Linked DNA regions of Cricetulus griseus. The protein of the gene in region 2 interacts with the protein of the main gene of each other region in a pairwise test. Links are inferred from orthologs where the notes say so. Each region holds a gene or a part of one and is shown on either strand. Other genes may lie near its edges.

What was found. The genes of interacting proteins can lie anywhere in the genome.
Region 1: the proteins of Pdik1l (region 2) and CUNH1orf174 interact in binary tests that used the Homo sapiens proteins (3 or more experiments, as listed by UniProt). The two-hybrid records come from large-scale screens. The link is inferred for Cricetulus griseus from reciprocal best matches to the Homo sapiens genes PDIK1L and C1orf174.

The regions. Positions count from the first base shown.
Region 1 is NC_048595.1:2,366,843-2,372,983, reverse strand, and holds the start of CUNH1orf174 (UPF0688 protein C1orf174 homolog), read left to right. Parts: upstream 1-2,278; 5' UTR 2,279-2,406; coding exon 2,407-2,421; intron 2,422-4,657; coding exon 4,658-4,771; intron 4,772-5,760; coding exon 5,761-6,141.
Region 2 is NC_048595.1:19,022,111-19,028,183, forward strand, and holds the start of Pdik1l (serine/threonine-protein kinase PDIK1L), read left to right. Parts: upstream 1-2,231; 5' UTR 2,232-2,275; intron 2,276-2,301; coding exon of another isoform or gene 2,302-2,382; intron 2,383-5,104; 5' UTR 5,105-5,121; coding exon 5,122-5,406; intron 5,407-6,073. Other genes in the region: translation initiation factor IF-2-like, read right to left, coding at 1,632-2,231, 2,302-2,382.

The DNA.
Region 1 (6,141 bases), about 17 Mb from region 2:
AAACCGTGGGCCCCTCAAACACAGCCTCCCACACTTGCTACAAGATGGATCTGTTTTGATTAACGGGCTTGGCTTATACAAGCCTGGGCTTACTGAAATGCCCCTTCCCATGATGCATCTGGTTTAACCATATGCAGGCCCAATTATGGATAGGCACAACATGGTAAATAGGAGTTCTTCCCTAAATACTCAGAGGACACAATTTGCCTTACTGCCCAAGCACTCAAAGCAAGTCTTGGCCCCTCACCCTGTACCCAGCTATATTCTAAAATATATTTGAATGAAAACTGACCACAATGAGAGATATTGATGGTGTTAGTGGAGGGTATATAAAAGACACGAGTTATGTGGCAACACATAGATGAATAGAAATGGGTTAATTTAAGTTATAAGCACTAGTGGGACAAACCTAAGCTATAAGCTGAGCTTTCATAATTAATAAGAAGTCTCCATGTCATTTTTGTGAGCTGGCAGACCAAAGAAAAGTCCAACAACACTCACCCATGACCTACTATGGATGCCTGACAAAATCTCATAGGCCCCCATCCTTAATGTTGGCCTTGATTCTGGAAGCAGTGAGGCAATCTTAAGAGCTCCAGCAAGATTCTAGTCATAGATCCATTCTGCAATCATGTGTTCAGCTGAGATTTCCAGTCCAGACTTACAGAACTGCTGGTTGGTTGTACCATGTAAGAATACAATGTCAGTACCACCCATGGTGGCGATGAGGAAACACCATTCCCATCCCAACTAGGGACAAGACAGTGTACCTATTCTTAGAAAGAGCACTTGTTGATATTACAGAGGACCTGGGTTCTGCTCCCAGCACCCACACGTGGCTAACACCCATCCATAACTCCCATTCCAAGTGATTCCATGTCCCCTTCTGACCTCCAAGAGCTCCAGGAACACATCTGGTCCACAGACACACATGTGATCAAAATACTCTTGTCCATAAAGTAAATCGACACCAACTTCAAAGCCCAGTAGAACCAGGACCTGGCTTTCTGAAGGACGAAGGGAAATCATTGAGCCAAGCCTAGAATAACTTGTGATGACCGGGCAGGCTCGTCCTGTCACGGCACATGCTGGTTTTTTACAGCTGGCTGCGATTATATTAATTTCCTTTCCAATGGCTTTCCCGCCAGTCACACATCTGTCAGTCCCCTTCCAAGCACCGTGGGAAATAATGGGGAAGAAGCATGAGGCTGAGGAGGAGGGAATGCCAGCCAGGAAGGTGAGCAGAGGGCATCAGTATGCCAAAGCTGCAAGGTGCCTGGCTACCTCCCCAAAGGCTAGTCCTACCAGCAGCCTGATTTCTGGGGCTCTACCCGTGCAATACCCAGTGGAGCCCTCCTAGAGGTAGAGGAGCCCGCACAGGTCTGCATTGCTCGTCTCCTGTAGTGCCCTGGAGAGATCTGTCAGTCTCCTTCATTTCATCAGCAATGCGACCCAGCAAGACAGAGGCTGAGGCCCAGATTTCATTTGTGTTTGAAGCTCTTTCTTATTTTCATATTATTTATTTATTTATTTATTTATTTATTTATTTATTTATTTATTTGGAGGGAGAATGAGTCGGTCTCGGGATGGAGTGTCCGTCGTGTCAGAGGACACCTTGTGGGTATCTTGAGGTCAAAGTCTAATTGTCAGGTTGGACTGCAAGTGCCCCGACCCTCTGAGCGCCTGCCGAGGCCCGCAAAGAGGCCAGGGCCGCCCGTCCTCGGCTTCGCTGAGGGTAAATGGGACCCCGAGCTGATGGTGGCCCCGCAGGGTAGGAAGGAAGGGGCCGAGACCAGAGAGAGGAGGGCCCCCAGCCGGGGAGCTGGCCCTTCTCAAACACGGCGGCCGCGGAGGCAGCACGTGATGTCCCTTTTCCAACATGGCGACTTACGCATCCTAAGGAGCGCCCTTCTCAAACATGGCGGCCGCGGAGGCAGCACGTGATGTCCCTTTTCCAAAATGGCGACTTACGCATCCTAAGGAGCGCCCTTCTCAAACATGGCGGCCGCGGAGGCAGCACGTGATGTCCCTTTTCCAAAATGGCGACTCACGCATCATCAACAGGAGCGCCCTTCTCAAACATGGCGGCCGCGGAGGCTTCGAAGGGCGAGCGTTTCTCAAACGTGGCGGTTAGACACGGCGGGCTCACACGCACCCGAGGCAGCGCCCGTTCCCCGTGTGGCGGGCGCGCCGCCCGGCTTCCGGCGCTCCGCCCTAGGCTCAAGTTCCCGGAAGCGCGTTCGGCCCGCTGTCGGGAGGGGCGGGCTTTGCTTGCGGCACGTGATCGCGAGGCGCCGCCCTGCGATTGGCCGGCCGGCGGTGACGTCAGACGCAGCGGAGGCGCGCGCCGAGAGCCGCGCGGTTGGGACTCTGCGGAGGAGCGTTAGGCCCGGGCGGCGCTCACTCATGAGGAGCAGGAAGGTGAGGGGCCCAGCAGGCGGGACGCGCGCCGCGCCGCGCCGGGCCGTCCGCTCCCCCGGGGCCTGCTGGGCCTCGCCTGGCAGCGGCCCCTGCCCTGGGCGCCTTGGACCCCCAGCTCCGCCCCTGGGAGCGCAAGACCGTGCACCCCGTCCCACCCCAACGCCACAGGCCCTGCCCCAGGAGTGGGGTGAGGGCCGCAAGTCTGCCGCTCGCACTGGAGGCGGCCCCTGACAGTGCAGGTGGCCGCCCCGGCTCCCTCCCCTCCACTCTGCATGGTGTAGCTGACCTCAGCCAAACCCCTGTGTCGTGTTGACTGGGCAGGGACTGGCAGTGTGACAGCAGGGAGGGGGACTGGGCCCAATCCGCAGCTGCAAAGGGGCTCTGACCTGGCCTGGCGGGTACCGTGAACTCCCACTCCTTTCACTAGTGCCCTTCAGCCGGAGGTGTGGCTGCTGTCTGCCTACAGGTGGCCAAAATCCAGGCAGACATCCGGCCTTCGGGTGGACCTGTGTAGGCGTTTGCGTGTAGTGTTGATAGGTAACTGTGCCCCACGTTGGTATTGTCTTTGTTGCTGTCCCTCTTGAATAGGCAGACGTTAAGGTTTGACTTGAATCATTTTTCCCACTGTGCTTTTTACTTCCTTGTGTGGGTATTTTCAGAATTGTACTGCCTCAGTTCCAGTGAGATACAGAATGACCTAACTCGTGTAGTTCTCTCCCCGCCTTTTGTGGTCTTTTGTTAGACATCTGTTGACAGTCCAGCCCTGGATTTACACCGTCTTCCGCTTCAGCCACTTCCTTAGGCCAGCAAGGCTCCTTCATGCCCACCCCCTATGTTACTGCCTTTAGAGAGAAGTGTGTTTAAAATATTCTGTACAAGGACTTCCCTTGTGGGAGGGGTGATCCAGTGCGTGGTTTCTTTGGTTACTGTTGGGGTCACTAGCTTCAGCTAGAACTCCCAGCAGTTCTAAAGCAACAGTCCTCAGTTGGCATCTAGAAATGTCTTTATTCAGGCCTTTATTTTGCAGGACAGGTTTTCTGGTATAGATTTTCTTAATTGACTTTTTTTTTTTTAAGTGCACCAAGTGTATTCACTGTGACTCCCACTGTTTGTGCAAAGTAAGGGGTTGGTTTCTTACCAGTTCTTCCAAGATTAGCACTGCTACAGGGGATGGTGTGTCCACGGGTCTATCCTCTCCTCTCTCTTGTGTCAGAGGTAGCCTGTCAACTTGGAGTTGAGTTTGTTAAGATTCCTCAATGTATAGATTATTGTTTGCAGTAAACACAGGAAGTTTTCAACCATTATTTCTTCGAATACTTTTTTTGCTCTCTTCCTTTATTGTTGTCCCTTACATATGTGCTGGTGTGTAAATTTAAGGCCAGCCTAGGCTACATGGGGAGTTCTCGGTCAGCCAGGACAATAAGATGATGTGTGAGACAGTTGTGTGTGATGACAATCTGTGACCCCAGCACTCAAGAAGCTAGGGCAGATGGATGGATCTTGCATTCAAGACTTGTCAAAGTAATTTAATGAAAACTTTCTCAAAAAAAAATATTTTAAGGGGTGGAGTCAGGAATATGGCACAGTTGGTAGGATGCCTACCTAGCATGCATGAAGCACAGTTCATTTCTCCATCCCACATAAGCCAAATGTATCAGCTCACATCTGTGATCCTAGCACTTGGGAAATAGAGGCAGGTTCAGGGGTGCAAGGTCCTCATTAGCTACATAGCAAGTCTGAGGCCAGCCCGGGTTACATAAGACTCTGTAGGAGAGAGAGGCACACGGGTATGAGTTCATGTCCACTTGCTACCATGCTGGTTCTTGGAAACATACAAGACAAGGGGACTGATGGTCCCAAACCTCCACCATGGACAAGCACACAGCCAGCTTTTGTCTTCAGTTGTATTTGTGTGCACGCGTGTGCTGTACCACCTGTGTGGCATGTACCCAGCATAGGTAGAAGCCAGAGGACAATCGTCAGAAGTTGGTTCTTGTCTTCCACTATTTGAATCTTTAGGATTGAATCGGGTCCTCAGTCCTAGTGGGAAGCGCTCTTTCCCACTGAGCCATCCCTCTGGCCCTGGACCCTGTATCTAAACCTGGACAGTTGGGTTGAAGCAGCATGGGCCATAGCAGCCTTGTGAGGGAATGTGGGCAGGCTCTGAGCTGAGCACCCACAGCTCTGTACTGGCATTCTGCCCAAAGCATGCTCTCTGAGCTTCATTCTTGTCTAGCTCACAGGTGGAGTGCGATCCTCAGCACGCCTTCGGGCCCGCCGTTACTCTTCAGCCAGCTCGGCCCCTGCCGAGGACATTGCCAGCTCCACATCCGCCAAGACAGCATGTCTGGTGAGCTTCACTACCAAGAACACCAAGGCCTTGGCTCCATCCGTTCCCACAGTTGTCACTCCGAGACGTGTTGTGTGAAATAGAAGCCATTGCTGCTGTGTGTAGCCTGGGAGACATTTCAGGCCATGTGACAGTGCCGTCCCTGCTGTCAGAGAGGGGTGCTCGTGGCAGTGCAGCTGAGTTTCCTTTTGTGCACCAACACCATGTGTGCAGAAGTGTGCTAGCAATCCAGACACTAAGGCTCAGCTTTGTGCATTGTGCCACTTTGAAGGTGGCCTGCCCAGCCATGTGAGTCTGTCACCTGCTTCACCCCTAAAGCTGAGAGAACAGTCAGGCAGCAAGGAAAGGACTCACAAGTGGTCTGTTACACATCACAGTGCAGCTGCCCTAGTAAGGGAATCTCATCCCCAAATGACGTAGCTGGGGCTTGGGGCACACATCTACAACTGGCCTCGCACAGCGCTTACTCAGGACAGCACACTGACACTTTGCTGAAGCCAGCCTGGGTGTCTGCTGATGCCTACAATGTCCAGGCACTGTCACAAAAAAAGCAAAGAGCCAGGAGCTTGCTTGGAGTGGGGAGATGGAAACTGGGATCTTTTACATCATTTTTTACATTACATTTTTATCTGTTTGAAGGAGAGGCACACATGTCACAGTGCATAGGTTGAAGTCAGAGGACAACTTGAAGTAGAAGATTCTCCTTTCACCCTGTGGGTCCTGGGATGTCATTTTGGCAGCAGGCACCTTTATGCACTAAGCCATTTTGCGTGTCCCTACTATGATCTTAAAGCAAGTAGGCAGGCACTTCAGAAAACCGCCTGTTGGAGTGGCGCTGTGGAGTCCTCCTTGGCCTCCAGTCTGTCCTGCCTCTTAGTGGCAGGACAGATGGTGACTGGTGGCAGAGGAAGAAGGGGGGGTCCTGAGACTGAGTCCTGTGCCTTTGCCAGATGGGTCTGGCTTTCTCTTACATTTTTCTTTCCTGGCAGGCTTCATCACAAAAGACCACAGACAAACGCACTTCCAAAAAGTTCAAGTATGACAAAGGTCACCTTGTAAAGGCAGAATTGCAGAAAGCTGACCCTAAACGTGACATTTCTTCTTTGTCAAAAGTGGCCCCTGTGGCCCCTTGTGAAAATGAGTTTGCAGAGGACAGTGCTAAGACTGCTGTCCCTGTGCCAGAGAGGGAAGAGCCTCCCCAGGGCTGCTCCCAGGCTGTGAGCGAGGAACCCTCAGCAAAGACTGAAGATTGCCTGCCCACAGCAGAACCCAGCAGTGCTGCGGCAGCCCAGGAGCCTGATGAAAGTTCTGCCAGACAGGCTGAGCCTGCGCCCAGGACAGAGGAGGTGCGGGCACCTGTGCTTCAGATG
Region 2 (6,073 bases):
CAGAACTTGGGAGGCAGACACAGGTGGATCTCTATGAGTTCAGAGGCCAGCCTGGTCTGCAAGGCAAGTTCCAGGACAGGCTCCAAAGCTACACAGAAAAACCCTGTCTCAAAAAAAAAAAAAAAAAGGTTTAAAATATAAGCAAATGTGTTTATCATTCACACAAAAGATGGCATACTATAAAACACTGGTCTCCTAGTTAGCTTCAGCTGTCAACTTGATATTACAGCTATTTGAGCTGGACTCAGGGGATTGCCTCCATCAGACTGGCCTGTGAGCATGTTCGTGGGGCGTTTTTGTTCATTCTTTTTTTGTTTTTGGAGTCAGAGTTTCTCTGTATTGTTTTGGAGCCTGTGCTGAAACTCACTCTGTAGACCAGGTTGGTCTCAAACGCAGAGATCCACCTGCCTCTGCCTCCTGACTGCTGGGATTAAAGGTGTGTGCCACCAACGCCCAGGGTTTTTTTCTTGATTGCTAATTGACAAAGCAGTGCTCACCCCAATGTGGGCAGTGCTATTTCTAGGCAGGCCAGCACAGGCTGTTTCAGAAATGTAGCTGAACCATGACCTGGTAGCAAGCCATTAAGTTGTCTTTCCCCAGTTCCTGCCCTGACTTTCCTCAATGATCAATTTATGACCCTGACCCTGGAAATTTAAGTCAAACAAACCCTTTCCTTTTTGTTTTTAATCATAGCAATAGGAAAACAGCTTGAACAGGTATGTCCCTTGAAGCTCCTGTGACATTTAATGACTGTAATGAACAGAGAGATCTCTTCCTAGTCTGACCTGTAACACAGTAGCCAGCATTCCCATCCCGTCCCCTCCCCTTTCCAGGACAGGAAACAAGTCTTGACTGAAGCCTGCATTCCCAGCGAACTGGTGAACACCAGTACCAGGAAGGCACTCAGGACAAACTAAACAGATTACTGGAGTTTTATTAGGAGAGGAGCTGGAGGTTGTTACACCAGGGGCAGGAGCGGATTTTTCTAGAAAGGCACCTTTTGGTCAAATGTAGCACAAGTCAGCTTTCTCTCCTGTGAAGGCGGGGTCAATAGTAAAGCCTTGACTTGTGGAGTTTAGTACGGATTCTACAAAAAGTTGCCCAGTTCCCAAACATTAGCCCAAGAAACAGAAGACTTAAGGAAAATTAACCTGGAGCTCAGTCACAGATTCTTACTGTACCTTATTAGCAAACAGTAGGTGCAGCATAATAAAGAAAAGAATGGGTGTTTTTGGAAGATGCTGACTGAATCTGTGTAACTAACGGGCCGGCCCACTGGTCCTCGCCTCTGAGTGACTGTGAGCCTGATGGTAGAGTTCAGGAGGACTGCTGCCGGGACATGACTGTCAGCTGCTGGGGAGATCCGAAAGGCTTCGCCCCCGAAGCGCCCACCATCCGGACGAGTGCAGTTCTGGTCCTTGGCGACCTGCCTTGCGTGCCGGCACCCTCCTACCTGAGTTCGGGCCTGCTAGGCGGGGCGCTGCAGCCAGGTAGGCCGCGCCCTCTGCCCCGCGCCCGCCCGACAGAGCAACTCCATCCTTACCGCCGGGAACAATGAGGTTCCGGCTTCTTTAAGGGAGATACCACCGCGCCGGTGGGGCAGGGGACGGCGTCCTCCCAGATGATCGCCCTCAGTCGTCCCGCATCACCGCCTGGGCCGCGGCGCCGCCCGCAAGCAACCCGGGGGACCCGGACAGAAGGTGCAGCCTCCCTTCCCCGGCCGCACCACCCCGCGGGCCCGCCGCCCACACCCGCCACCCGCGGAAGATGCGCCGGGCGTCGGGTCGCAGCGACCGCTCGGTACGTGTGCAGGGGACAGGGTGGGCAGCCGGCGGCCGGGCTCGTGCACTGCCGGCCCGGGGCAGTGGCCGCGGCTTCCCCAGAGTCCAGGCACCCGCACCCGCCGCGGCAGAGGGCGACCGTCGTCCCCAGCCGCCACCCCCGCGGGCCCGGGCAGCAGTGGTCCGCCCTGCAGCGCGCACACCCCGCGGGCGCCGCTCGGCTCTGCGCGGCACCGGAGCAGCGAGCGGCGCCGGAGCGCCACGCCGCACGCGCGCAGGACCGGCGCTCGCTCGCCCAGCAGGCGGCGCTCGGTGACGCACGCGCACTACGGCAAGCCGGAGGGGGCGGGGCCCGGCGTGAGGGGGTGTGTCCGCGCACCACGGGGGCGCGCGCCGGCTTCTGACTGGAGGCCGCGGCAGCCGAGGCGCGAGCTGCCCGATAATGGCGGCCTGCAGAGCTCATGAGAGGGAGAAGCGGCGGCGGCTGCCCTGAGGTAAATCTGGCCCTTCGTCGTGGCACGGATGCCCTGCGTTCAGAACCGCCCTCCCTGCATGTGTCGCTGGCCCAGCAGGCCCGTTCCAGACCTCTCAGCGGAGTCATCCCCGGGAAGGCCCGGCGCTGCCCCGGCCAGCGGCCCGGACTGCGGCCTCCGTTCCCGCCCGGGCCACTCCCGGGCACCGGCCCCTCGTCTGCAGCCGCAGGGAGCCGAGCGGCCGTGCAGCCGGCTGCAGGGCCGCGGGAGGGTCCCTCGGGGTTTCAGGGCACTGTCGCCGGGAGCGATCTTGCTGCTGGGGCAGCGAGCGCGGCCTGAGCACCCTCACTTGTCCCCTTCGCGGCACCAGCAGGTGCATGTCCAGGCCGGCCGTGCCCAGCGCCCGGGGACCGCAGCAGGCAGGAGGGTCCGGGACACGCCATCGAAAGGCACACAGGTTCTCGAAGGATGCTTCCCCGGGGCGCCTCTCCCTCCAGGATCCCGGGGATTTGATAGACACCTTCCCTCCTTGTTCAGGAAGGTGTCCCCCCCCTGTCTCGGGGGACCGTGGCAAGTGGGAGAGAAGGGACTGCTGCACAGAAAAGAGCCACTTGGAAGCGCACAGTAGCTGGCGATCGGCGCAGAGCAGAGCAGAGCAGAGCAGGGCTGTGGCAGGAAATTTGACATTAGGAAATAAAGCAGTAGGAACTTGAAGGATAGGCGACCAATTAAAGGAAGTAGCGCTCTCGGCAATCCTCAGAAGCAGTCATTTTCTTTTCAGTCTTGCTTATGGACTTAAAAGTAGTTGTTCCCGGAGTTTTCAGCTTCCAGGGTCAGTCACTTTTTGTTTCTCTGATTGGGCAATGTAAATACAATCTCAGGTTACTTTTTCTGCCGGCGATGACAGGCAGCGGCGAGTGAGCATTTGAGGAGTGAGGAAGCACACTGCAGGCTCTCCAGTCAGAAGAACGCTCTGCAGGGCCTGTGCTGTAGCTTGCCTTTAAATGATTTATTAATTTGGAACTTCAGAGAACTTTTCTCAGAGAATTCCCTTTGATGTATAAGATGCTCCCCCACTTTGGCAAAAATGACCTAGAATTAAATAGCTATGTTAAACGATAATAAAAAAAAGTAGTTCTAGTCTGAGCAACTTGCTTCGTTTTAAAGAAGTTCTCCTACAAAAACTTTGTGTTTATTTTGTAAGAAATAAATAACCAAGCATACTGGCGCATGCTTATAACCCCAGGACTAGGAAGGTGGAGGCAGGAGGATCAGTAGTTTGGGATCATTCTCTGCTACATAGTGAGTTCAAGGCTAGCCTGAGTTACTGGAGACACTGTCTCAAACAAAACAAAATGGTCTTGTTCACTTTCAGTCCATAAGCATAAGTCAGGGGATTTTTGCATTTCACTGTTTTTATTACCTTTCATATATGCATCAACCTTAAGGAGATACAGATACATTGCTTCATTTTTTTCATGATCAGTAAATTAAAATGTTGAATTTTGAGTTTATTTGTTTATTGTTTTTCGAGACAGGGTTTCTCTGGGTAGCTCTGCCTGTCCTAGAACTCACTCTGTAGACCAGACTGGCCTTGAACTCAAGGGCAGCCTGCTTCTGTCTCCTGAGTGCTGGGATTAAAGCCTGAGTGCTTGGATTAAAGGCTGGAGCCACTGCTGTCCAGCTTTGGGTTATTTTTATCAATGACATGCTCCAGCAGTTCCTATAAGAAGTAATGTAGTTTAGGGTTTAAGTCATGGATATCTGAACCAAAGAGCTGCCTGGCCACTGGCTTTGTACTTAACCCTCTCTGTGCTTTAATTTCCTCACTTCTAAAATGACCATTATAACACCTACCCCTTGCTACACAGATTATGGTTAGGGATTAAATGAATGTAGTATAAAGTAGCCAGGTAGTGTCACCACCCATCATTCCAGAGACAGAGGTAACCAGGGCTGTTGAGATTGGTTCAGTGGGTAAAGTTGCTTTCTGCCAAGCCTTACAACATAAATTCAATTCCTGGGACCCACATGGTAGAAGGAGAGAACTGACTCCCACATATTGTCCTCTGATTTCCACAAAGACACAAGCGTACACACGAAATATGCAATACAGCTTTTAAAAAGTGAAAGCCATCTTGAGCTATATAATAGCAAGATCCTATCTCTTTAAAGGGGGCTGGAAGGAAGGCATGGTGCACACGTCTTTAATCCCAGCACTGGGGAAGCAGAGGCAGGCTTATCTCTGTGAGCTGAAGACCTTGTCCAAAACAGGGGTGGGTGGGTGGAGCCTGGAGAGAGAGTTGAGTGGATAAAGCGTTTGTCCAGTAAATATAAGGAACTGAGTTTGGATCCACAGAACCCACATACAGCCAGATATCCTTCGTGAGATGGGAGGCAGAAACAACAGTCTCCAGAAATTCACAGGCAGCTATCCTGCCGTGCTCTACTCGTTAGCAGTGACAGGAGAGCCAAGGTGTGCCATGGCATGGGCATGCCTGCACTCACACACCAAGATAAACTTTAAAAAAAGTCAGAAATGATAGTGCTGTAGCCATGGCTTCTGAAGCCAGCCTGACCTACACATCAAGCTCCAGGCCAGGGGAACTTGGCAAGACTCTGTCTCAAAGACAACAAAAACTTTAGAAACCATTGTAAGGTATTTGAAATAGTTCCTAATATAGGGTAAGTGCTATCTGTTACCTTTTTTTTTTATTATTGGTAGATTCCTCCAAAGTATAGATAGATATCTTTCAAGTACCACAGTGAAACAGTTAGTTAAATCATGCATAAGAATACAAACCAATAGGTACACCTAACTTCAACAGAGTACTTTGTTGATTTTTCCAGAAACCTCGACCTTGAAGATGGTGAGTAGCCAGCCAAAGTACGATCTAATACGGGAGGTAGGCCGAGGTAGTTACGGTGTTGTGTATGAAGCAATCATCAGAAAGACCTCTGCGAGAGTAGCAGTGAAGAAAATCCGATGCCACGCACCTGAAAATGTTGAACTAGCCCTTCGAGAGTTCTGGGCACTAAGCAGTATCAAGAGCCAGCATCCAAATGTGATTCACTTGGAAGAGTGCATCCTGCAAAAAGATGGGATGGTGCAAAAGATGTCCCACGGCTCTAATTCTTCCCTTTATTTACAGGTATGTGTCACTGGATAGGAAATGGACGCAATATTGGTCAGCAAGAGGAAAAAAGTGTCAGATGAACTTCTCCCTTAAAAGGCAGGTGTTCTATGACTAAGTGCAGGTAGAGGTCTTCAGAGGATAGAGGAGATACTTACTTTAAGCCTGAGCTGCACATGCCTAAAAATAACATAAGCCACCTGTTATGCCTAGTACCTGCCAGTCTGCGTAGGAATAGGACAATATGGGAACTGGAGGAATAGGACAATTTGAGACTAGCATCAAAGTTCAGTTCCTGGACACCAATTCTTTTGAAAATAAACGCAGAACACCACAGTCAGTAACAGCCACACCCATAGGTAATTGGACTTCTCCTTTTTAGAAGTCTAAACATAATAAACCTTAGATGAGTATATTGGTACATGTCAGTTAAGGTGGAGGCTGGAGGCTCAGGAGTTTAAGAGCAGACTCACCCGTATATGGAGTTCAGGACATGCCTGGACTGAATCATGAGTTCAGGGTAAAAGTTGTCCTCTGATCGCCACACTCACCCAGTGCCGTGCATGCGTGTAAGCGCTACATAGATGCATACACTCATAAACAGACACACATAACATAAATAAATGTAATTTAGCAATTGAAGATAGTAACAACAACAAAACTATGTTTTGGGTTTTTGAAAAGG